Linked DNA regions of Neurospora crassa OR74A. The protein of the gene in region 1 purifies or fractionates together with the protein of each later gene. This does not show direct contact. Links are inferred from orthologs where the notes say so. Each region holds a gene or a part of one and is shown in the gene's direction. Other genes may lie near its edges. The genes, in order: rpt-3, rpn-3, NCU11053, rpn-7, rpn-6 and rpn-5.

Region 1 (3,935 bases):
ATTCATGGACGCACGGGATTACACCGGATGCTTGAAGGGGTCTCTTCCTTGCCTGCGTAGGGGACCCGAGGATTGACGGGTGGATGGAGTTCAGTTCAGTTGCATGTCTATGTAAGTCTGCACTTTCCTGCGCTTACAGTAAGTATACCGCTCTGCAATTCATGTTGTACTTTTACATAAAGTTCCTGAATCGTCCTTTGTCGTTATCGTAACTTCACACCGAGACACGCCGGATGACGGGAGCCCAGGCTGATCTGCTTCAGGGCTTAAGATGTTCAACCCCAGTTCCTCAGACAGTCACCGGCTACGCACGCTCTACTGTACTGTATAGAGAAAAATAGTGTATCGAGTCAAGCCAGCAATTTAACCTTTGGACTGCCGCAATTCAAACCCCAACTACGCAACCCTCTCCCTTCTCATTCATCATACGCCTCGCGATCCCTCATCAGCACCGCTTCATGGCCATGATGCGTTCAGACGGGCCCGAGCCAGGCAAGGATGTGTTAGCTAACACACGGGATGCAGGGTGGTGTATGGTGACCACAATAGCATATCATCGCCGCATCATTCGATCCAAACAGTGGAGAAACTGGTATCGGCCGTCTTCGGAATGACAACTCGATCCCTTATCGCGGTAGTGTACGTTGAGCCACAGAGAAGTGATGTTACGACGATGGGATCTGCCATATCTCTCAACCTTAATTACACCACGTCGGGTATTGCGATAGCATGCAAGACATATCAAACAAATAAGAGACGATTGTCAATAGTGTAGAGGTCAAGCCAGAGACAAGTTACGGGGGGAGGACGGCGGACGACAAGCCGACCTGGCCGTCAAGGTGACACTTCGTGACGCCTAGCAAGGGTACCCGTGTGGATGTGGGGTTGAGAAAGGCTGGAGTCGCTCAACTGCGATGGTGGCACCCAACTTGAAGTGGAGGTCGACCTGCATGGAGGGGGGAGCCACCGACAAGGCTCCCGCCGCTTCAGTTCAGTTCAGTCCAATCTGCACTGTCCGGCAGTCACCCCTTGACACTGTCCAACAGCCCCACTTGCAGCTGGAGCGTCTCTGGTGAAGTGCGACTTTTGGCTACAAAAAATGGAGCATCTGTCATCGATAAGTGTGGCACTTATACAAGCTATATTGTACAAAGCAGGCACCGTAGCTGTGCTTGGTAGTCCACTATAACTGCCAGAACGTGGTCATCCAGCCAATCACTGTGCTTATGGCAGCACCCGGCAACGCAGGCTCCAGATGAATGACGAGCCACAGCTAGCCCAGCTTGCTGTTACTAGCAACAGCGACCACTGCATCAGCGACTGCTAGCACCGACAACCTACTACTGACACGCGCCACAAGGCGAACCTCGACGACGACAACAGAACAACAAGAAATACCACCCGACCGATCCCCCAGACCCACGTCAATTACAATCGCGCATCTGAGCGCTCGCGATACAACACACGGAAACATATCGATCAAGCCATTTAATACCATCACAAGAAAACATCCGCCAAGATGGGCGACGTCCTTGTCGAGACCCCGGCCAGTGTGACCCAGCCTCAAAAGAAGTCCGCCCCTTCGGCGATCCCCAACATCGAGACCTTCGAGGGCGTGTCAACAGAGGGCGGCGATGACTACATTACCTTGAAGAAGCTTCAGAGGCAGCTAGAATACATCAAGCTGCAGGAGGAATACATCAAGGATGAGCAGAGGTATGGTCACAGAAGCTCCACGCGCTGAGAGCTTGATGAGGAGGGGCTGACAACATGGTATCTGGCAGGAGCTTGAAGCGTGAGCTTGTACGTGCCCAGGAGGAAATCAAGAGGATTCAAAGTGTCCCCTTGGTGATTGGACAGTTCATGGAAGCTATCGATCAAAAGTATGGCCGCCCAATGCAACCCCCCGTCTTCAAAACTGGCCCAGACTAACCCTTCCTCTCAGCACGGGTATCGTTCAATCCAGTACTGGCTCAAACTACGTCGTCCGTATCCTTTCGACTCTCGATCGCGAGCTCCTCAAGCCCTCATCCTCCGTAGCGCTCCACCGTCACTCTAATGCCGTCGTCGATATTTTGCCGCCCGAGGCTGACTCCTCGATTGCTATGCTCGGTGCCGACGAGAAGCCCGACGTTACATATGCCGATGTTGGAGGGTTGGATATGCAGAAGCAGGAAATTCGGGAAGCCGTTGAGCTGCCCCTAACACACTTTGATCTTTACAAGCAGATCGGCATTGACCCCCCGCGCGGTGTCCTTCTCTACGGTCCTCCCGGTACCGGCAAGACAATGTTGGTCAAGGCGGTCGCAAACTCGACGACAGCGAACTTTATCCGCGTCGTCGGTTCCGAGTTCGTACAAAAGTATCTCGGTGAGGGTCCTCGCATGGTGCGCGACGTCTTCCGCATGGCTCGTGAGAACGCGCCCGCCATCATCTTCATCGACGAAATTGATGCCATTGCGACCAAGCGTTTCGACGCGCAGACGGGTGCCGATCGTGAGGTGCAAAGAATTCTGCTCGAATTGCTCAACCAGATGGACGGTTTCGACCAGACCGCCAACGTCAAGGTGATCATGGCCACCAACCGTGCCGACACCCTCGATCCCGCCCTGCTGCGTCCCGGTCGTCTTGATCGCAAGATCGAGTTTCCCAACCTGCGCGATCGCCGCGAGCGCCGTCTCATCTTCACCACGATTGCTGGCAAGATGAGCTTGGCCCCTGAGGTCGACCTTGACAGCTTGATTGTCCGCAACGATCCTCTCAGCGGTGCCGTCATCGCTGCCATTATGCAGGAGGCCGGTCTGCGCGCAGTACGGAAGAACAGGTACAACATCATCCAGGCTGATTTGGAGGACGCCTACAGCAGCCAAGTGAAGGGTACGAGCGACGAGAACAAGTTTGATTTCTACAAGTAAACCATCGGCGTCATGGGCTAGCTGTGTTGGGGTCGAGGACCACGGAACATGTGGGAGATTGCATTTTGGGTGGGTTGGTGCTATGCTTCTTGCTGCCTTGGGAAAATATAGTTTGTGCCCCAGATCAGCAGGGACTATAGACTTTCATAGAAGCGAACCAATTTGTACACTAGCGAATAAATCTAGAGCGGTACCAACATATATATATATGTGCGTACCTCTCTGGAGTTGCTCCAACTGAAAAAGTAGTAACACCCAAACGAAAAGAAGCAAGATGCCCTGGCTCCCAGCTGATACTATTTACATGTTCAGATCAACTTGCTCGGCGAAATTGAGTTCTCAGTGCGCTTTCTTTCTCTCCAGGTCATGGTATGCCACCATTTATCTTGATACATATGTAGATACATCTACGGCTGTATGGTGGTTCTCCGTTCCCGAAACGCCGTAGCTATAGCAAATCCCATTTAAATGAAGGGAGGATATGTCGGAAAAATGTAATGTGCTTCAATATAGATTCTTGTCTACTGAAAAATGATAAGGTCGGCTTGGAGAACATTTCTTGTCAGGGGGGAGGGAGGGGAAGAGATGATAAGAAAGGGTAAGACACCGTATCTACAGCATGTCCTCCCTTATGGATGGCAAGAGAGGCCAGGGTCGGGTCGTACTTGGGTATTCCAGCGAGTAAAATCCGATAATACTATCCTACATACATATTGATAACAGGACCTTGAGTGGTTACCTCAAAATTTTAAGTACCACTCAGGGCGTCTACACTATGGTAGTTCCTAGATATCGTTGCCGTCACTTGACATTCATTAAAAAAAAAGTGAAGGAAAAAAAAAGGACTTATTGTTTAAACTTCAAAATAACCTCGATGCTATTTGAGGGGTAAAGGGTGTATATCCTCCATGTGACTATTTGTAACTACTACTTGTAACTACCTACTTGGGATTGTACCTAAGGTAGGTATCGTTGTAGTCAGTCTAACACACTCACTCAGTCCCCTCTCCCGCCGCTCAC
Region 2 (4,189 bases), about 130 kb from region 1:
CATCCCCACGCTCACCCCAACGCTATGCCCCAGACCATTCAGGCCTCCAAGTTCCCCATCGCCAAGTCCCTGCCGGAAAAGGCGACGCAGATTCCCACGCCCGTTGCAGGCCCGCCTGGTCGCCCGACTCTGAGCGGTGGCACAGCCGGTGTCGGCGTCATGAATCAGCCCGTCTTGCAGAAGACCCCGGCCTACCAGCTTGAGGGCGAGGGTGAGAGGGTTTTGAACAAGAAGAAGCTGGACGAGCTGGTTCGGCAGGTGTGCGGTGGTACGGCTGAGGGCCAAGACGGAAATCTCTTGACACCTGAGGTTGAGGAGGTACGTTGTTTGCAACCTGATAATCCTTTGTTTTTCTTTGCGGAAGTCCGCGGTCATTCCTTAACCCCCTTTAGCAAACTCACAAAGTCATCACCACACAACCAGCTAACGTGGCATTCCTTTTCAGTCCGTCCTTGGTCTCGCCGATAGCTTTACAGAGAGTGTCCTCCACGCGGCGTCCCGCAATGCAAAGGAGAGAGGATCCAAGGTTCTTGAGATCCGCGATATCCAGCTTGTTTTGGAGCGTACCTACAACATCCGTATCCCTGGCTACTCTAGTGACGAGCTCAGGACGGTTCGCAAGGTGCAGCCCAATGCTCAGTGGATCACCAAGATGAGCGCGGTGCAGGCCGCCAAGGTCATGCCGGGCAAGGGGGATCTTTAATGGAAGGGTATTCAGACCAGAATGAACAAGAGGTTTCGGGTCTCGCTTGTTTGCATGGATGTGGTAATTCTTTTGGGGGTGGGAAATGGAAAAGGGTGGCGTACCGGATGAGACGGAGGAAATACATTCATCTCGGGATACTTGTATGCTTATCCCTGGCATGAGCTACCCATAATATGGCTTAGGTTGAAGCATCAATCCTTTATGGGTTACGAAACAAGCTCCAAATATAATGGGTTGCAAGCAAGTGCAGATTTGCCGTGATATGCCAGATGATGCAGGGTTCAGGAGGCATATGCATATTCAACCCCGTGATAATGCCATCTTGGGAATGCAGACAGAAAGCGAGGACCATATATTGTATAGGCAATGGTTGCTAACACCATCCTGAAATAGGAGCCATGTCTCCCAAGACCAACTCAGTTTGTAAAAGTCTACATTGGTGGTCGAGGTGGTAAGATGTTTTGGATGTTGTCTACCCTACACTTGTAGTACTTGTAATGTAAGGTGTACCTAAGTACCTAAGTACCCTGCCTCGAGCCTGCCTGGACGTCGTCGACAGGCAGCACATCAACAACGTCAGTGACGAGCCGCAGTGGACCCATTCAAGACAATCTGGCCAATCACAATGCCTAGATGTGTGAAGCTCTTCTGGAGCTTGTCCGAAGGCCACCATAGCACTCACTCACTGCACAGGGCGGCCCTTCAGTTGGTCGTCCGCTCTTGTATGCTGGCCCAACCGTGACCGGTAGGTACTTCCTTTCAATCATCAGCTCAACAACTCCCATCAAGCAAAACACGGGTCTGTGAAGCTTGAACTTTCCTTTCCTGCACCGAACTCCGAGTACACAGCTTGGATTGAATTACCTAGGTAGTTATCCATCGACAACGACGACGAAGCAGTTTGCCCTTGGCCCTCGCTTAACAACGCCGACGACGAAGTCACCCCCATAGATACCTCCCTCTCTACCTCTAGTGCTCCATTCCCCGCCTAGAGCTAGATCCACTGCGACTCTGCCAGCTGCTGCTGCTAAAGGTGCTTGCTCCAGGCTTGCAAGAAGGGCGCGCTTCGCGAGATCGCCCCAAGCAACTCGAACTCATACCTCTGCTCTATTAGGTTGCCCACCAAAACGGCGTCATCATCACCGCACCACAGCATTCCAACATCACCCACCGCGCCAACGCAACCGTCAACCCCCACCACATCATCACCCCGTTTCCCATCGACCATCGGGCCGTTACCAACACAGCAACCACGACCTCCAGCCCAGCCAGCCTATAACCAAACCCGGAGCCGCTCCAGATAAGGAACCACTTGAGCACGGAAGCTATTGGGGTGGAAAGGATCTCGACATGACGGACAAGGATACCAAGAAGTCGGGAAAGCAAGGCGAGGACGAAATGACCGTCGTAGTCCCCCCTCCCAAGAACAAGCAGAACTCTGCGCAACCTCCCAACGACGCCGATGGCGACATTGCCATGGAAGACGACACCAAGGCCGGCGAGGTTGAGGCCCAGGTCGACCCCGTCGCCCAAACCATCAGCGGTACGGTACCTTCCCAGTCCCCAGCTTCATCTATCTTTGTGAGCTGAACTAACCATCACTCGCTTGCGCAGACATCAAGAGCAACTTTGCGCTGCTAGACCGTGCTGTTGCCCTGTTCGATCCCAGATTCTCTCTACGGGCACTGCGATCCATCTCGTCGATCCGGAAACGCCTGACGCCCGACATCCTCGCACAAGTCGTCTCAGAAACCTTCTCCGCGTCCTCACCCAATACTCAAGTTGCCGAGCACCTGCTGCTCGCTGTCGACCGGCCAAATGTGACTCTCGGCAGCAGCTCAGACATGGAGATCGACTCGGGATCCAAGTCGCCAGCGAAGAACGGTGGCAAGAAGGACCCCAAGGAGGTGATTCCTGAGATCGACATCTTCCTAGGCATTCTGGCGCAGGTCCACCTCTACGACACCAAACAGTTCCAGCGCGGATTCGCCCTGTCGCGTTTCCTATCCGAGCGTATCCAGTCCCTCAACCGCCGCACATTAGACAGCCTTTCGGCCAAGGTGTACTTTTACTTCTCGCTCTTTGCCGAGCAGCTCGCTCCCCTCCCGCCTTCCCCCCAGTCGCCGATTGTGTCGATCCGCCCGATCCTCCTCGCCGCTCTCCGAACCGCCGTGCTACGAAAGGATATCGACACCCAGGCTTCCGTCATTGTCCTCCTGCTCCGGAACTACCTCCTCACGTCGCATATCTCCCAGGCCGATCTGCTGGTGCAGCATACCCAGTTCCCCGAGAACGCTGCCAACAACCAGGTCGCGCGTTTCCTGTACTACCTCGGCCGTGTCCGGGCTATTCAGCTACGGTACACCGAGGCCCATGAGCATCTCACTGCGGCGACACGGAAGGCTCCCTCGAGCGCCTGCGCACTTGGCTTCAGCCAGACGGCCACCAAGCTCCTGCTCGTCGTAGAGCTCCTCATGGGCGACATCCCCGACCGCGCCATCTTCCGTCAACTGACCATGGAGGCCACTCTCCACCCGTACTTCCTGCTCGTCCGCGCCGTGCGCGTCGGCAACCTCGAGGACTTCGAGACCACCATCGCCCAGCATGCCGACACCTTCCGCCGCGACGGCACCTATAGCTTGATTTTGCGTCTGCGCCAAAACGTCATCAAGACGGGCATCCGCATGATGAGTTTGAGCTACAGCCGCATTTCGCTCCGCGACATTTGCATCCGCTTGCACCTCGGCAGCGAGGAGAGTGCCGAGTACATTGTGGCCAAGGCGATCAGGGACGGCGTCATCGAGGCCACGCTCGACAGGGAGCGCGGCTTCATGAAGAGTAAGGAGGTGGGCGACGTGTATGCCACCAGCGAACCGGCCGAGGCGTTCCATGACCGTATCCGCGCCTGCTTGGCTCTGCATGATGAGAGTGTCAAGGTATGTTTCTTTTTTTTCTTTCTCCCCCTTTCAAATTCCAGAAGTTATGATAGATTTGTTGCTCACAAATTCTTTCTTTGCAGGCCATGCGTTTCCCCATGAACCAGCACCGTCTCGAGCTGAAGAATGCCCAGGAAGCACGAGAGCGCGAGCGTGATTTGGCCAAGGAGATACAGGAGGGCGATCTGGATGAGGATGATCTCGGTGGTGACTTTGAGGGCATTTAAGATGTTTAGACACACACACACACACCACACACGAGTCTAAACTACCTAGATAGACCCCGCCCAATACCTATAATTTGGTCTTGGGAATAGTCATCATCATCATCCCTGTTGTATCTAGTAATCTGGTATGGAATCGTGCTATCGCCGGCCAAGAAATAAGACGGGAAGAGAGAAGAGACAGAGCCTTATGCTAGAGAAAATACGCTACAACCGTATATCACCTACCATCTTGCCTCACTTGTTCATTAGACGTATCCACTGTGTATCGGGCACAACCACCCATCAACATTTCATGCATGCTTTTTTTCGTTTGTTCCTCA
Region 3 (3,146 bases), on another chromosome or scaffold:
TAATAAATAATAATTACCATTAATTAGGTTATAGTAATATAATTAAAGCCGGGGATAAATTATAGATAAATCTATACTTAATAATTCGCCTAGCTAAGGGGACTTTATCCTATTGAAGGCGGATTTAAAATAAAAGGTTTATAACTTCTTCGTCGACTATAGGTATAAACCCTTATTTATACACCTACTAAATTCTATAGTCTAAATATTTACAATATTTAATACCAATATATTTGTATATAGTATAATAATAGATAGCGTTATTCAAATAATTAGAGGAAGTTTCCTTCGCAAGCATTTTCCTTGCAATACAATATTGGATCTAGGATATAAGAGAGTAATTAGATATTAACTTTATTTAAATTACTATTTTATTTTAAAATACTACCGTTACATACCTCGCTCTATAGAGCCTTAACCTAATCTTCGGTTAAACTATTAATATTTATAATATATACTATACTAAGAGTAGAAGACTTAGGGTATTTTAGAATAGTAATTATATAGTATATTATTTCGATAAAAATGGAGTATTAATTGATATTATTAAATAAAATAAGCGTTAGGCCTATAGTTTTAACTTTTATATAATTAATATTATAGGATTAATTATTAATTAATATAGGATATATTTAAAATATATTAATAAAGATTTATTAGGAAATTATTAAGTATTATAATATTAAGAGGGGTTATATCCTTTAAATCCTTTAATTTATTAAATTCGGCTACTATACTAATAATTTACTATAATTCGAATATAATAGACGGTCTATTAAATACTTTATTATTCTATTTAATTAAATTAAGCCTAGTAATAATAGTTAAAGTATTAGCGTTAGAAATAGGGTTAGTACTTATTTTATATTAAATATAATAAATTAGAGATTAATTAGGGATAGATTACGTAGGTGTTATTACGAATTGTTGTGGAAGGTTTACGGAAGGGTGAGTTCGGGCTAATATTATTTGGACTTATATATTTCTTATTTGTAGGTAAGTTTCGTTTATTGGGATCAAAAGCGCCGGTTATTTCTCTATAGGGAAAGTTAAAAGGTATGTATGCGACGTATTAAAGGGGTGATAGTTAATTGAGAGATTTTCTATAGTGTGGGGTCGGTCTTAGCGTATCCACTTGGGTTAGGAAGCTTTGGGTATGGGGTCGGGTTATGTGAGTACTCTACAAAGTACCTACCTAGGTAATTCACGAGCCAGCTAGGTACATACATACTCCAATCTGAGATCGAGATCTCATCATGCTTGGTGATTTCCACAACTGAGGCTTACCCTTTATAAGATATTACGAAATTACAACCCTTCACCATGAGCAATCTTCATGCGCCTACTGTCCCCTCGGGACCGACTTCTGCCCCTGTCACCAACGGCAGTGCTGCCCATCTATCCTTTGCTGAGCTCCAGCGCAAGAAGGATGCTATCGAGGGGGAGCTCAAGGCGCTCAGCGGAGTGCTTGATTCGGTTGGTCCAGTTTATATCCTTCGAGCCTTCATCATGCCAGTTGACTGATCAAATATTCCAGCACGGCGTTGACATGAACACAAACCTCCTTACTCCCGATGGCTTTCCCAGATCAGATATCGATGTTGCGCAAATCCGCACAACAAGGTCGCGCATCATCCATCTTCGCAACGACTACAAGGAGCTGATGGCCTTGATCGAGAAGCGTCTGCATGAGCATTTCGCCAGCATCCAGGACGACGACGAAGAGTCAACACCTGTTCCCACGGATCAATCCGCACCGCTGCCAGACTCGGTACCCGAAGTCCTGGAGCAGCCATTTGCCAAAGTCAACAGTGTCGTTGATAACAGTCCGGCGGCCACAGCAGGTCTCAAGGCCGGTGATCTGATTCGCAGCTTTGGTTATGTCAACCGGTCCAACCATGACAGCCTAAGGAAGGTCGCAGAGTGTGTTCAGGGTAATGAAGGGGTAAGTCGTGCCAGGCTCTGTCCATCCTCAGTAGTTGCCAACCTAGAGAAAGCTGAGCTAACCGGGTATACTTCGTAGCAAAATATCCTCGTCAAGGTCTCTCGGAGCACGGCAGGGACACGAACCCAAGAGCTTCGGCTAACGTTGACTCCTCGCCGCGACTGGGGCGGTAGAGGTATGCTTGGATGCCATATCTTGCCACTATGAAAAGGCAACCGGGGCGAGATGATGGCCTGGAACTAGGCAGAAGAAGATTGTGATACAAGAGTAGCGTCATTGGGCACCAAATCCGCTCAGATATGTTAGGGAAGAATCAGGATGCGCCATTGCCGCCTGGAAATGAGGCCTCTTTGGGAATTTGCTTTGTAATGAAGGAAACGACGGATCTGAGACTGACTGGCATTCGAAAGATGAACCAAAAAGCCAAGACGCCAGGGGGTTCTCCCTCACCGTAGTAACGAGGCCAGAACCAAAACAAAACAAACGAGCTTGAACGAGCAAACCTGATGACAAAATGGAAAAAGAGATAGATGGATAAGGTCGATGCCATGAGAGTGCGCATTCACTGTAGCCCAACGCTTGAAACCTCTGGTAGGTTCAGTTCTTTGTTCCCGACACGCGACTGTCAGCACGTCAGCACGTCAGGAGCAGAAAATAAGACACGAACGGACGGCATTGCGGCAAGACGGAGTGAATGGCAGCCTCATCGATCGGTTTGACTTTGCGCGCATCAGGTTCGTTGCCTTCAGTTGGTTGAGGGTACCGCACTGACCAGGCGGGTCACGTGCCCGTCACCTAACAAGCACCCCGCCGCCCAACGAGTTTTTCGTCAAGGCTGGTGGCCCATTCATTCCCTTGAGCGGCGGTGCCTTGAAAACACAACATCATCCACCAGGCTGTCTGAGGTCCACTGCTTCCTCTCTTTTTGACCACACCCATTTTCCCACCCTCTGCAAAATCGCAAAGGTGCGTCTCTAGTTCGATTTGGATCCCTCCCTCCCTCGCCCTTATTTAACCATTCGATACCCCGCCCATCTGTGTCGCTCCGACCGGTCGATAGCTGACTTTCCCAAAAGGACTTGTTTACCTGCTTCTTTTCGCCTGCGATATTAAGCATCATACACAATGGCTGCCGCGACCCCTACTTTCAAGCTCGTCCTCGTCGGTGACGGTGGTACCGGCAAGGTCAGTCCACATCCCA
Region 4 (3,929 bases), on another chromosome or scaffold:
ATACCGATCGCGCGCCTGGTCGATAGAGACATCTGCTGGGTCCAGCCCAACATAGAGCTCTACGGGCTGTGGCGCCTGCTGCCATTTGCCCAAATCACCGCCCTTGCCGCATCCAATGTCGAGCACCAACAGCTGATTGTTCGAACTGATTCCCCGCTCACGAGCGCCAGGCGAGTGGTCTTCGTCAGGAGAAAACTTCTGGATGATACAGCTCTTGACCCAGTTGTTGAAGGAGCGGAGACCTTTGATGCGACTGTCCGTCTTACGCCAGTCACGGCCACGCTCGGGCACAGCATTGTAATGGGCACGTACGACGTCATTGACCGCGTTGCGGCGCTCAGCTTCGGCGGCCGCTTCTGCCTCCCGCTGAGCCTGGCGCTCGCGCTCCATCTGACGTTGACGAATCTGTTCGCGCTCGGCTTCCGTGATGCGGGCACGTTGGCCAGGCCGCTTCTGCTTTCTAGGCTCGCCGCTGGTAGTGGGGGTTTGTGTTCTCTTGGCCGGAGCTAACTTGCGGGCATCAAACGGCTGTGGGAGGACATCGTTGTCGTCCTCATCTTCGTCATGCCTCGCAGACTTGTATCGACGGTCTTCGTTGCGGCCATTGCGGTCGTCGTCGTAGGGCGATTCTGAGCGTTGCCTCTTGCGAGTGGACCTATAACTGGTGTAACCATCGTAGCCTGACATTTCTGGAAAAAACTGTTGGTGTGGTCTCGCAAGGAGACTTGATCATCGGCAAGAACAACTATGGCAAGCGTACAGGCTTCGTGTAACAGCAGAATAACTGATGCGACGGTGAGTGGTGTGAGTTGTGATTTTGACTGTTGATATCGATTGATGCGAGTACAGACACAGGCAAATCCTGAAAGTGAATTCTGGGACTCGAAATTCGGTATGTCGAAGTTGAAAGCTCTTGTTATTGTTGTTGTTGTTGTTGTTGTCGAGGAGAGAAAGCAATTGGAAAGGAAGTCGGGATGCAAGTGTTTTGAGGATGCAAGCATGGGTCGGTCGGTGTTTGAGCCGATGAAGTGTGCCTGCCCGGGCACTGTTCCAGCGGCTCCACTTGCAGGCCTGGCCCGCCTTCCAAGCTCTGTCTCCACTTTCCAGTGCTGACGCGCGAGCTCTGGGGGCCTTGGTCACTCTCCAGTGAGGTCAGCTACTCTATCGACCTTCCGAACCATTCAAGGAGCACCACAACTAAACCACAGACATCACCACCACCCAGCCTCACCTCGACCCGGCATCTTTGGTAGAATCACAGCGCCAGGCCAAGTCACACATTGCGATCCAGTTTCCAAGAGCTTTCAACACCGCGAAACTTCCCATCTTAAGCCGGCATCCACCTCCATCAGCTGCTTGCCGATTTCCAGCGGGGTGCTTCTACCAGACGACGGACACTGACCAGCACCGGACCGTCTTCCATTTGCATCCTCCTCTCCCATCTCCCTCCTTGGCTCGTAAGCTAGCACCCATCACAACTACAAAATGGGCTCCGATCCTCAATACGCGAAATGGCCTCTGCTGCCCCTCGCCCAGCATGTCTTCACCCTCACAAACCCCTACGCCGCCCGCCCTGCCCAACAAGCGGCCGTTAAGAACCTTCAAGATGCCATCACCGAGCACAAGATGGCGCCCTTTTACCGATACCTCGCGCACCCTACCGAGGGTGTCCTTAACTCTGTTGGGGAAGGCGGCTCCAACACTGCCGGTGCCGGAAGGTTGGGTAGGAAGAGCAGCATCGCCGCCGGCATGATCGCGACCCACAAACCCACCACAAGCTTAAGCCTACCGTGGGATGAGAACCTGTACCAGCAGCTGCAGGCCGAGAACGAGAAGGAGCTTGAGGAGTTCCAAAAAGAGGAAGATGAGGCTGTCGAGAAGGCGGGAGACACAGAGATCCAGGCTGCCAAGGGAAAGAGGGCCGAGTTCTGGGCCCGAGTTGGCGATAAGGTTGGTCACTACAAGTTCACTTAGCTACCCATCCACTCCCACCAACCGACATATACTAAGCATACACTCTTCCTATTCAGGAAAAAGCCATCGCCGCGCACCAAGATCTGCTCGAGAAGACGAGCATTCTAGGTACCAAGATCGATCTCGTCCTCGCCTTAATCCGCCTCGGCCTCTTCTTTGGCGACAAGCAGCTAGTCCAGAAGACTGTCGAGCGCGCCAAGTCGCTTGTCGAATCGGGCGGCGACTGGGACCGTCGCAACCGCCTCAAGGCCTACGAGGGTCTGCACTTGCTCACCGTGCGCAACTACAGCGGCGCCGCCCCCTTGCTCCTCGACAGTCTGTCCACCTTTACCTCGTACGAACTCTGCACCTACAGCAACCTGGTGGTCTACGCCGTGCTCGCCGGTTCCGTCTCGCTCAAGCGCGTCGACTTCAAGTCCAAGGTCGTGGACGCCCCCGAGATCAAGGCGATTCTTGGCGACGGAGAGGACAAGCTGCTCGCACTGACCGGCGCCATCTCGGCCGGCCCGGGAGCCGACGCCTCGATGCAGGACGCCGATAACGCCCCCGTGGCGGCCCGGACGGCTGTAGTTAACCTGACCACGCTCGGCAGCAGCACGGAACAGCCTGAGGCGGAGATGGCGGTCGACTTTGACCCGCTCGCGCAGCTGGTTAGCAGCCTGTACAACGGCCGGTACAAGCTCTTCTTCCAGGCGCTGGCCCTGGTGGAGGAGCAATTCCTCACCCAGGACCGCTACCTGCACGAGCATAAGAACTGGTTCATCCGCGAGATGCGCCTGCGCGCGTACCAGCAACTGCTGCAGAGCTATCGCGTTGTGGGACTGGATAGCATGGCCAACGACTTTGGTGTTACCGTGGATTTCTTGGATCGGTTGGTTTTCCCCTTGTTTTTGTTCTACCCCTCTTCCCCCCGACACAAGTTCTATATATACTGATCGTACATCACAAAAACAGTGACCTAGCAAAGTTCATCGCCGCCGGCCGTATTCCCTGCACCATCGACCGCGTCAATGGCAAGGGTGTTATCGAGACCAACCGGCCCGACGACAAGAACAAGCAGTATCAGGACGTGGTTCGCCAGGGTGACCAGCTGATTACCAAGCTGCAGAAGTACGGACAGGCTGTTCGGTTGAGGGGAAGCGAAAGGGCGTAGTAGAGAACCAACTTGAAGAGAGTTAGAAGCTAGCAGTGAAACAAGGGGAAGGTCAATGATGTATAAGCGAGCTGTGCTATCGTTAGCGATTACCTTGGGAAGAAGGGAAGGGGATATGAATGATCAAGGGCATGGATTGAGTGGATGGATGAAAGGCGGAGAGAAATCAGAAGAGAATAGAGCCTAAAGCAACCTATCACATTAAATTGTCGTTAGGGCCTAACTCGTCTCTAGTAAGGACAAATGACACAAAACGACTTGCTCCTCATTGTCACGGATATTGCATCATGTGTTCATAAGACTCCGTTTCTTCTTGTCCAGGCTTTTTTACTTTTGTATTCGTATGTCCCTCGTATCCTGGATAAGGCTACGTACATACGTGCAATGCAAAAGGCTAGCAAAAAGTACAAACGCTGAGGTATCATCAAAGATCCCATAACCAACCAACCAACCAACCAAACCAAACCAAAAGCCGAACCAAATCGCTCTTTTTTTGTCCTTCATACTCCGAGTTCTGCTTGGTAAACAAGATTTCGCTCGCTTTTTCCGTACCATGTTTCCCCTCAACTTCATTATCCGGTCCCGGCGCTGGGATGGGCAACATATCTATCCCTAAGGTAGATGAGCGGACAGGGCAGGTGACATTCTACAAGGGAGAGAAGGGATGATATCTCCAGGGTCACACCCTGTTCTTCCGCGGCAGCTTTGATACTTGAGGGGCTGCAGAACCGATGAACGAGCGCCCCCCTTGTGCGCAGCGTCATAGTCAGACCATCCATCCATCTCGAGGACACTCGACACC
Region 5 (3,963 bases), on another chromosome or scaffold:
CACGAGCTCCTCGCCGGTAGGAGAGAACTCGACGTCCATAACCGCCGCAACGTGGCCCTTTTGGATATTCTGCGCCTTGGTGAAGTTCCTGGCGTCGAAGAGGTAGACGTTGTGATCTTCTGAGGCAACAGCCATGTTCATCGCCTCCATGGGGTTGAAGACAATGCGGTTGGCGGCGAACTTGAGAACAGTCTTGATGACGGGCATGTTGGTGCGCAAATCGAACAGAATAACGGAGCGATCTGTGCCGACGGAACCCACGATCGAGGTCTCAACCTGGTTGAAGCAAACATCGGTGATGGTGTCGCTGTGGTTCGGCCACTGTATCGTCTGAGGAGCCGTGCTGTGCTCGAGATCCCAAATACGAATGCAGCCGGCGCCCGAAGAGGCAACGAAGGAGTTGGTGTTGCGGTGGAACGAGAGAGCCGTGTATGGACCACCTTCCTGCCATGTCGCGAGTGGCGTTGGGGAGTCGGTCTTGGTGTAAGGGTCCCAAAGCTTGATGCCGTCGGTGGCACATGTGAGAAGCTTCTTGTCGTTGGTGAAGGTCATTCCCTTGACGATATTGTTGTGGGCGGCAGCCTTCCATGCTTCATCCCGTGTTGTGAGATCCCAGACCTTGACGATACCGTCACCCGAACCGGAAGCGATTGTGTGTAGCGAGTTCTTGTCCTTGGCCATGCTGTAGACACCCTGAACGTGGCCATTTCCTAGCTGGCCGAGGAAGGGCTTGGCGAAGACTCTCTCCAACTTGACGGCATTGAGGGCTCTCTTGTACTCGCGAGCGCGCTCGAAGGGATGGAGTTCGGGCGCAAGGTTACGGGGTGCGCGGGTGACGTCGTTACCGGGGGCCTGCTGGGCCGAGATGTTTCGGCTGAGGGCTTTGATCTGTTGTAGAAGTGTCAGTGGTGAGCCTAGAAGTGGGTTTGCGAATCTTGATGGGCGTCGCGTGTGGTAGGCCCAAGTACCTTCATGGTGACGGTGTTTCTCTGTTGATGATGTTGAAGGGGTCGTGGATGAGAAGGCTACCAAGGCCGACGGATATCGAGTGTGAATAATTGTATATGATGAGGCCGGGTATGGCTGAAGTCTGTCGGTACACCTTGTCGCAAAGCACAGGTGCTGTGATACAGTTATCGACGTTGGAATTAATGAATGGATGGATGGATGGATGCCGGGAGCGTCTGTCGCCAATTGGGGAGCACAGTCGGACACGGGCAGTTTGACAGCTCCCGTTCCCCTTCCTCTGGAGAAATTTTGGCGGGGTCTGGCGGCAAGAATCTTGACCGCCTTCTTGGCAGTTTGCTAAACGCTTAGGCTTGGAATGTTAGAGCTTCGCTGCCAAAAGGATGGACAGGGCCTGAGCTACCGAGAGCTGGGCTTGCCTGCCGTGAATTGACAGGGATCTGTAGGTGGATGTCTCCAGCTAATTACGTCGCGCCTGGCTACCTAGCGGTGGTACGTAGTGTACAGAGGTCTCGTTAGTGGACATGCCGCCTGCACTTGACTTGGGTAACAGCTGTGCTCCAGCAGAGGACGGGTGGTGAGGTTCGTCACGACAGAACAACCTGAGCTCCAACTTCAACACCACAACAACCACAACTTCCAAGCCGACACTCTGCGACCACCGACACGCCGCATATCCCCCCGCGACCTCGAGTAATCACCATCACATCCAATCCGATAGCCAAACTCTCGATTTATACTACTACCGCTTACCACTTGGCGACCGGGACAACCAGCACACGACACCATGGCCCAGGGCGAAGCATCAGAGAGAGTGCGCGAGGCGCAGAAGGTGGTCTCGACCGACCCCCGCCAGGCCGAGCAGATTTACAAGGATATCATCTCCAAGCCGCCATCAGTCACCTCTGACGCGGCCATCCGGGAATACGAGACGGCTTTGATTCACTTGGGAGAGCTCTATCGCGACGAGAAGTAAGAGTGGCTGGTGTATGTCGTGGTCATCGAGGAGGGGTACGGTCACTAACCTCCCATCACCGTGTACAGGAACTCACAAGGCCTTGTAGACCTCGTAACCCAGAGCCGCACAGTTCTCTCCTCGTTCGCAAAGGCAAAGACGGCAAAGCTTGGTACGACCCCGCCATCAGCTTTGTTGACGCGCTATACAAGCTCATGAGGATACTAACACTGGTTGATACATGCAGTCCGCCAGCTCCTCGACCTCTTCGAAGCCATCCCCGACTCTCTCGACATCCAGATTTCCGTCACCAAGTCGTGTATAGAATGGGCCACATCAGAGCGCCGCTCTTTCCTCCGCCAGAACCTCGAAACCCGTCTTGTCGCCTTGTACATGGCCAAGCAGTCCTACTACGATGCCCTGACGCTCATCAACGGTCTCCTCCGTGAGCTGAAGCGCATGGACGACAAGCTCGTCCTCGTCGAAGTCCAGCTGCTCGAGTCGCGGGTATACCACGCCCTCGGCAACATTGCCAAGGCCCGCGCCGCCCTCACCAGCGCGCGCACGAGCGCCGCCTCCGTTTACACCCCTCCTCTGCTCCAGGCCAACCTGGACATGCAGTCGGGCATGCTGCACGCCGAGGACAAGGACTTCAACACGGCCTTCAGCTACTTTATCGAGGCGCTGGACGGCTACCACACGCAGGAGGAGCCGCAGCGAGCCCAGGCCGCGCTGCAGTACATGCTGCTCTGCAAGATCATGCTCAACCTCGCCGATGACGTCAACCAGCTCATGACCTCCAAGCAGGCCGTCAAGTACGCCGGCAAGTCGCTCGAGGCCATGAAGGCCATTGCCCGCGCCCACAGCAACCGATCTCTCGAGGAGTACGAGCGCGCCCTGGCGGCTTACCGCTATGAGCTGGGTAGTGACACCTTCATCCGCAACCACCTGCGACGCTTGTACGATGCCATGCTGGAGCAAAACCTGATCAAGGTCATTGAGCCCTTCAGCCGCGTGGAGATTGACCATATCGCCAAGATGGTCGGCTTGGACACCCAGCAGGTGGAAAGAAAGCTGTCGCAGATGATCCTGGATAAGGTGATCATTGGAGTGCTGGACCAGGGCGCCGGCTGCCTCATTATTTACGATGAGACGCACCGGGATGAGGCGTACGATGCGGCGCTGAAGACCATTGAGAAGCTTAGCAATGTGGTTGATGTGCTTTATACCAACCAGGCCTCGCAGCTTGAGTAAAAAAAAAGCGAGGTTCAAGGCAGAAGCAGGGTTTAAATGGATGGATGGATGGATGGTTTAGGGGTTTACAACATGGGGTTCGTCTGTAACATTACGCTTAGATATGGTATTAGTCGGGCGTACTGAAACAAACACGATAAACCGCATGATCATAAGTCTAAGTTTTGAGCAATGACGGTGGTCTGGTCTTTCAAACTGTTGCAGATATGTGATATCGTATGTCCAAATTTCAGAAACTAGAAACAACCAATGTTTGTACAAAGAACCATTTAACAACATGGTATCTCCTACTCATGCATCCGTCCATCCAGTTATACTTTGGGTATCCAGTTCCTTCTTTCACTGTTCTTCCCTTCTCCCCTTCCCAACCATCCAACCATCCATCTATGCCCATTCTTTCATGTCCTTTCCCATGCTCAATACACATCACGACGCATAAACTAACAAACAACCCCCCTCCCCCTTCTCCTCCCCCTATCAACCCGTCCCTCCCTCCTCCTCCTCTCGCCCACCAAAAACGCATACACCCGTCTGACCAACTCCCCCTCACTCCACCCCCCTTTTTCCTGTTCATCCATCGCAAACACACCACCGTAAAGTTCATCTGTTCCCCACGCCCGTCTAAACATCTCCCGAAACTTGTAGACGACGTCCAAATGCCATTGCTCAATCACCACCGACTCGTCAATGGGAAGACGCGTGACGGGGTCGTAGGTGGTTTGTTGAGGGGAGGGGCGGTACGTTTGGTGCAGGAAAGAAGAGAGGGTGGGGGAGTGGGGGTAGTAGAG
Region 6 (4,124 bases), on another chromosome or scaffold:
ACTTAAACTACTTAGTAAAAGAGAACCCTTCTTCTCCCAATTTATAACCGTCCTCCTCCTTTAACTATATAAAAGTCAATAATAAGTAAAAAGAATAATAGTTAAAGTACTTTAATTAATCGAAGGTAAATTTTACATTTGAGAAGCTAATCGGCAATTTAATAAATCTAACCCCCTTATTTAAATTATTAATAAGGAAATCTTCTATTAGGTCGGTCTTAAATATTAAGTACGTTAATACTACGTACCCCATTACACTTACTCCTACTATAAGCGTAGTAGATTCGCAATTAATAATATCGTTAATCTCTAGCTTTTACTTTACTAGCTCCTTTAATACAATTACCCTTACTCGCCCACCCGCTACGCAACCGAATTTTACCCCTATCTCATTATAGTTCTAAATATCGCCTCTTTCAACTTCGTACTTCTTAATAATAACCTCGTACTCGTTAAACTACTCGTTAATAGACTCCTTATTTAATTCCTAAAACCTTCTTTTAATATTAACTATACAGTAAATAGTAGTTTTGAACTCTAGATAGTCTTTGAGGAAGCTAGCTAATTATATTGTATTGTAGGTCTCCGGTGTACCCTATAATAAGCGTAATCGATTTGCCGCTATAATAACTATTTAGTATAACGCTAGGAACCGTCCTTGAAAGTAGAATATTACGTACAATATAATAGTACTTTCCTCAGCTTTTATTAGTATATAGGGTTTTCCTATTGGGTGCGACGAGACGGCAGGCTTTTGGAATTCGCGTAGCGATTTAATATAATAAAAGATCAATATACGGGATTTACTAGTAATAGCAGTAATATCCTTAACAATTAATAGCTTCGTTACCCTATTTCTAAGGGTTTTAAAGCGCCAATAAGCTTTAAGATATATACGGGCGCCACAGTAGCTAGCGGACGCTTCGTCCAACTCCTTAAAGTACTAATCGAAATTTACGGGTATTATACGGTAAATTAACAATTTTACTATTAATCTATAGATATATATAGACTGCTTATTTTTCATAGATTTACGCAATAAAATTGTACGAATTAGGGTACGGTTTTGTTGCAACGCTATTACCGATTTTACGATGCAAATAAGCGATTTTACAGGGCGTTAATAAGCAAATCTATATGGTACCCATCGGCCTTGTCCCATAATAAAACGCTGTCCCACAATTACTTTACCCCCTCTTTAATGAAGAGGGGGGGAGAAAAGGACCCACACCAGGCCGCCCTCCAACCCCCAAGTACGTACCGCTGCAGTGAGTGTGCTTGGGTTGCTAGCAGTGACAGGTCCCACTCCAGCAGCAGGGCAGCTACCGTGACGACCTAACCACAGCACCTCACTACGCCAATCGCTGGACTGACGACACTCAAGGTACCTCCAAGAGCACCTCAGTCTCCAAACAACCTACAACCTAACAAACGAACTGCCCCTCAATCATCACAACATCAACAACACGAACCCATCGCGAACGCAGTGTAGTCGCCGCCCAGCCCACGATACCTGAAATAGTCTGACAGCGCCTATCCACACATCCTCAATACTGCACATCATGGCGGAGCCTGCGTTCAAGCCGGAGAAGGACTTCTCCAAGGAAGTCGACAAGCTGCTGCCCGAGGCCGAGCAGTTGGCCAAGGTAATCGCAAAACTCCCATGGTTGCCACCGTCTGCAGACCGTATACTAATAATGAAACACCCTTGTAGACAGACATTCAAGCGGCTATCGAGAAGCTTTCTGTCCTCGAAAAGCAGACGCGCCAGGTAAGCACGCTGGACCACCTACCTTGTCCCCCGCTCCTTCACGCTGACCACTCGCCGACGACAGGCTTCCGACCTCGCATCGACATCCCGCATCCTGGTCGCTATCGTTACCATCTGCAAGAATGCAGGCGACTGGAGCTTGCTCAACGACCAGACCCTTGTTCTCTCCAAGAAACATGGCCAGCTCAAACAAGCCATCACCAAGATGGTACAGACCGTCATCGACTTCCTCCCAGAAACCCCGAACCTGGAGACCAAGCTCTCCGTCATCGAGACGTTGCGCACCGTTACCGAGGGCAAGATCTTTCTCGAGGTTGAGCGCGCACGCGTCACCAAGATTCTCTCCGACATCAAGAAAGAGCAGGGCGATCTCAAGGCTGCGACCGATATCCTGTGCGAGCTTCAGGTTGAGACATTTGGCTCCATGGACAGGAGGGAAAAGACGGAATTCATTCTGGCTCAGGTGGCGCTTTGCATAGAGAGCAAGGACTGGACACAGGCGGGCATTCTCAGCAGAAAGATTAGCACCAAGTACCTTGCGCGCAGGCCCAAGAAAACGCAAGAGCAGCTCGACAAGGAACAGAAGGACAGGGAGGCCAAGAAGGCCAGGGGTGAGGAGGTTTCCGAGGAGAAGGAAGATGATGTCACCGACCTCAAGTTGCGATACTACGAACAACAGATCATTTTGGCCAAGCACGACTCAAGATACCTCGACGTCTGCAAGTACTACCGTCAAGTGCTGGATACCGAGGCAGTAGAGGAGGACCCCGCCAAGTTGCAGGCCGTAAGCTTCTCAGACACACCACATGGCGATCTTCTTAGACTAACATGGGTTGACAGGTCCTGCAAAGAATCATCTACTTCATCATCCTTGCCCCTCACGACAACGAGCAACACGATCTCCTTCACAGAATCCACAAGGACCCACGAATCGCACAGGTCCCTCAGGATGCCGAGTTGTTGAAGCTGTTTACCGTCCACGAGCTCATGCGCTGGCCCGAGGTTTCCAAAATCTTTGGCCCACACCTCTGCAGCACCGAGATCTTCGACTCGGAGCCCAACCAGTCAGCCGACGACAAGGCTTTCCAGCGCTGGCAAGACCTGCGCAAGCGCGTCATCGAGCATAATGTGCGTGTGGTGGCCAAGTATTACACGCGCATTCGTGTGGATCGCCTTACCCAGCTGTTGGATTTGACCGAGGACGAGACGGAGAAGTATATCAGCGAGCTCGTGACGTCCAAAACGGTCTATGCCAAGATCGACCGCCCGGCGCGCATCGTGAGCTTTGCTAAGCCGCGGGATGCGGACGATATCCTCAACGAGTGGAGCTTCAACATGAAGAGCTTGCTAGGCCACCTGGAAAGAATTGACCATCTGATTACCAAGGAGGAAATGATGGCAAGAATCCAACCCGGAGCAAAGTCGTCAAAGAAGAGCAGTAAGGAGAAAGCGGCGGCGCGCTAGAGAAGCTCAAGCTTCCTTACTGCACTGACCCCAGTTGTGGTCAGAAACAGACGGTAACCATCGCGGCCATAGGGCGAGGCGAGAAGCCGTCGAGTCAAATTACTCCCTAGTCGCCATCTTCCCGGCAGAGACTTCGTGGGCCAAAGCAAGGCTGGATGCATTACAGCAAGAACTAGCAGCTTTGTATGAATAGACATGACTACTATGGAGCACAAGGGACGTAATTATTTATGACTTATATCCCGGTTGAAGGGAGCGCAGTTTACTGCCAGGTAGAAAACGAGATGTCCAGCATACGGAAGGCTCCAGTTGCCTGTACGCAAGTGATGCCGTAGGTTGTTGCAGGTTGTTCGAAAATCAAGCCCGCATAAATAGTGATAATACGAAAGGGCTTCATCTCTCCAGCTTCACCAGTGGACAGTGATGAACCGCCCAATACTTTAGCGGACGCCTTGAGGCTTTGCGTGATATGTATCGTTGTGAGACTGGAGGTATCAAGAGTGCCAGCCGCGTGCCCGGACCCCCGGTCGTCTTGAACCCCCGCTGCCCCCGGCAACATCGGCATGCATATTGGCCAAGACATCAACCAATAACCAAGGCAGTAGCCGGCGCTACCATGTCATGCCATGATCCGAGCATGACATGCCAGGACGGGAACAATCGATGGGAACCCGTCAGATGCACATCATGGCCATCGTCGATTGAGCATAGGTAGAGACTGTTATGATGTGGGGAAACTCCTCGTAGTCGTTCCTCCCGAGTTGATGTCTCCGTAAAGTGCAGTCTTCCACGTTCAGAAATTGAAATACAGTACACTACACCATCACTATACCCACTCACTCATGCCGATACTCCCAAGTGTCGCCCAGAAAGCACACAAACAGCCTAC

Evidence for each region.
Region 2: the proteins of rpt-3 (region 1) and rpn-3 purify together in Saccharomyces cerevisiae (affinity purification with mass spectrometry; 4 studies listed by BioGRID, with this or other methods). This does not show direct contact. The link is inferred for Neurospora crassa OR74A from reciprocal best matches to the Saccharomyces cerevisiae genes RPT3 and RPN3.
Region 3: the proteins of rpt-3 (region 1) and NCU11053 purify together in Saccharomyces cerevisiae (affinity purification with western blotting; 5 studies listed by BioGRID, with this or other methods). This does not show direct contact. The link is inferred for Neurospora crassa OR74A from reciprocal best matches to the Saccharomyces cerevisiae genes RPT3 and NAS2.
Region 4: the proteins of rpt-3 (region 1) and rpn-7 purify together in Saccharomyces cerevisiae (affinity purification with mass spectrometry; 4 studies listed by BioGRID, with this or other methods). This does not show direct contact. The link is inferred for Neurospora crassa OR74A from reciprocal best matches to the Saccharomyces cerevisiae genes RPT3 and RPN7.
Region 5: the proteins of rpt-3 (region 1) and rpn-6 purify together in Saccharomyces cerevisiae (affinity purification with mass spectrometry; 6 studies listed by BioGRID). This does not show direct contact. The link is inferred for Neurospora crassa OR74A from reciprocal best matches to the Saccharomyces cerevisiae genes RPT3 and RPN6.
Region 6: the proteins of rpt-3 (region 1) and rpn-5 purify together in Saccharomyces cerevisiae (affinity purification with mass spectrometry; 6 studies listed by BioGRID). This does not show direct contact. The link is inferred for Neurospora crassa OR74A from reciprocal best matches to the Saccharomyces cerevisiae genes RPT3 and RPN5.

The regions. Positions count from the first base shown.
Region 1 is NC_026507.1:3,146,038-3,149,972, forward strand, and holds rpt-3 (26S protease regulatory subunit 6B), read left to right. Parts: upstream 1-1,135; 5' UTR 1,136-1,519; coding exon 1,520-1,716; intron 1,717-1,784; coding exon 1,785-1,883; intron 1,884-1,945; coding exon 1,946-2,915; 3' UTR 2,916-3,608; downstream 3,609-3,935. UniProt on the Saccharomyces cerevisiae protein: The 26S proteasome is involved in the ATP-dependent degradation of ubiquitinated proteins. The regulatory (or ATPase) complex confers ATP dependency and substrate specificity to the 26S complex.
Region 2 is NC_026507.1:3,274,541-3,278,729, reverse strand, and holds rpn-3 (26S proteasome non-ATPase regulatory subunit 3), read left to right. Parts: upstream 1-1,389; 5' UTR 1,390-2,056; coding exon 2,057-2,249; intron 2,250-2,320; coding exon 2,321-3,642; intron 3,643-3,725; coding exon 3,726-3,869; 3' UTR 3,870-4,163; downstream 4,164-4,189. Other genes in the region: NCU02223 (hypothetical protein), read left to right, coding at 1-318, 446-703. UniProt on the Saccharomyces cerevisiae protein: Acts as a regulatory subunit of the 26S proteasome which is involved in the ATP-dependent degradation of ubiquitinated proteins.
Region 3 is NC_026501.1:9,336,028-9,339,173, forward strand, and holds NCU11053 (26S proteasome non-ATPase regulatory subunit 9), read left to right. Parts: upstream 1-1,179; 5' UTR 1,180-1,323; coding exon 1,324-1,476; intron 1,477-1,537; coding exon 1,538-1,945; intron 1,946-2,023; coding exon 2,024-2,152; 3' UTR 2,153-2,646; downstream 2,647-3,146. Other genes in the region: ran (GTP-binding nuclear protein GSP1/Ran, variant), read left to right, coding at 3,071-3,130. UniProt on the Saccharomyces cerevisiae protein: Acts as a chaperone during the assembly of the 26S proteasome, specifically of the base subcomplex of the 19S regulatory complex (RC).
Region 4 is NC_026506.1:2,285,886-2,289,814, forward strand, and holds rpn-7 (proteasome regulatory particle), read left to right. Parts: upstream 1-1,129; 5' UTR 1,130-1,485; coding exon 1,486-1,950; intron 1,951-2,030; coding exon 2,031-2,845; intron 2,846-2,928; coding exon 2,929-3,127; 3' UTR 3,128-3,444; downstream 3,445-3,929. Other genes in the region: NCU03971 (mRNA cap guanine-N7 methyltransferase), read right to left, coding at 1-687. UniProt on the Saccharomyces cerevisiae protein: Component of the 19S cap proteasome complex which acts as a regulatory subunit of the 26S proteasome, involved in the ATP-dependent degradation of ubiquitinated proteins.
Region 5 is NC_026502.1:2,996,535-3,000,497, reverse strand, and holds rpn-6 (26S proteasome non-ATPase regulatory subunit 11), read left to right. Parts: upstream 1-1,492; 5' UTR 1,493-1,753; coding exon 1,754-1,938; intron 1,939-2,010; coding exon 2,011-2,093; intron 2,094-2,168; coding exon 2,169-3,175; 3' UTR 3,176-3,463; downstream 3,464-3,963. Other genes in the region: NCU01595 (SOF1), read right to left, coding at 1-888, 969-974; NCU01597 (hypothetical protein), read right to left, coding at 3,616-3,963. UniProt on the Saccharomyces cerevisiae protein: Component of the lid subcomplex of the 26S proteasome, a multiprotein complex involved in the ATP-dependent degradation of ubiquitinated proteins. In the complex, RPN6 is required for proteasome assembly.
Region 6 is NC_026501.1:3,064,196-3,068,319, forward strand, and holds rpn-5 (26S proteasome non-ATPase regulatory subunit 12), read left to right. Parts: upstream 1-1,324; 5' UTR 1,325-1,562; coding exon 1,563-1,646; intron 1,647-1,714; coding exon 1,715-1,771; intron 1,772-1,835; coding exon 1,836-2,555; intron 2,556-2,611; coding exon 2,612-3,235; 3' UTR 3,236-3,681; downstream 3,682-4,124. UniProt on the Saccharomyces cerevisiae protein: Acts as a regulatory subunit of the 26S proteasome which is involved in the ATP-dependent degradation of ubiquitinated proteins.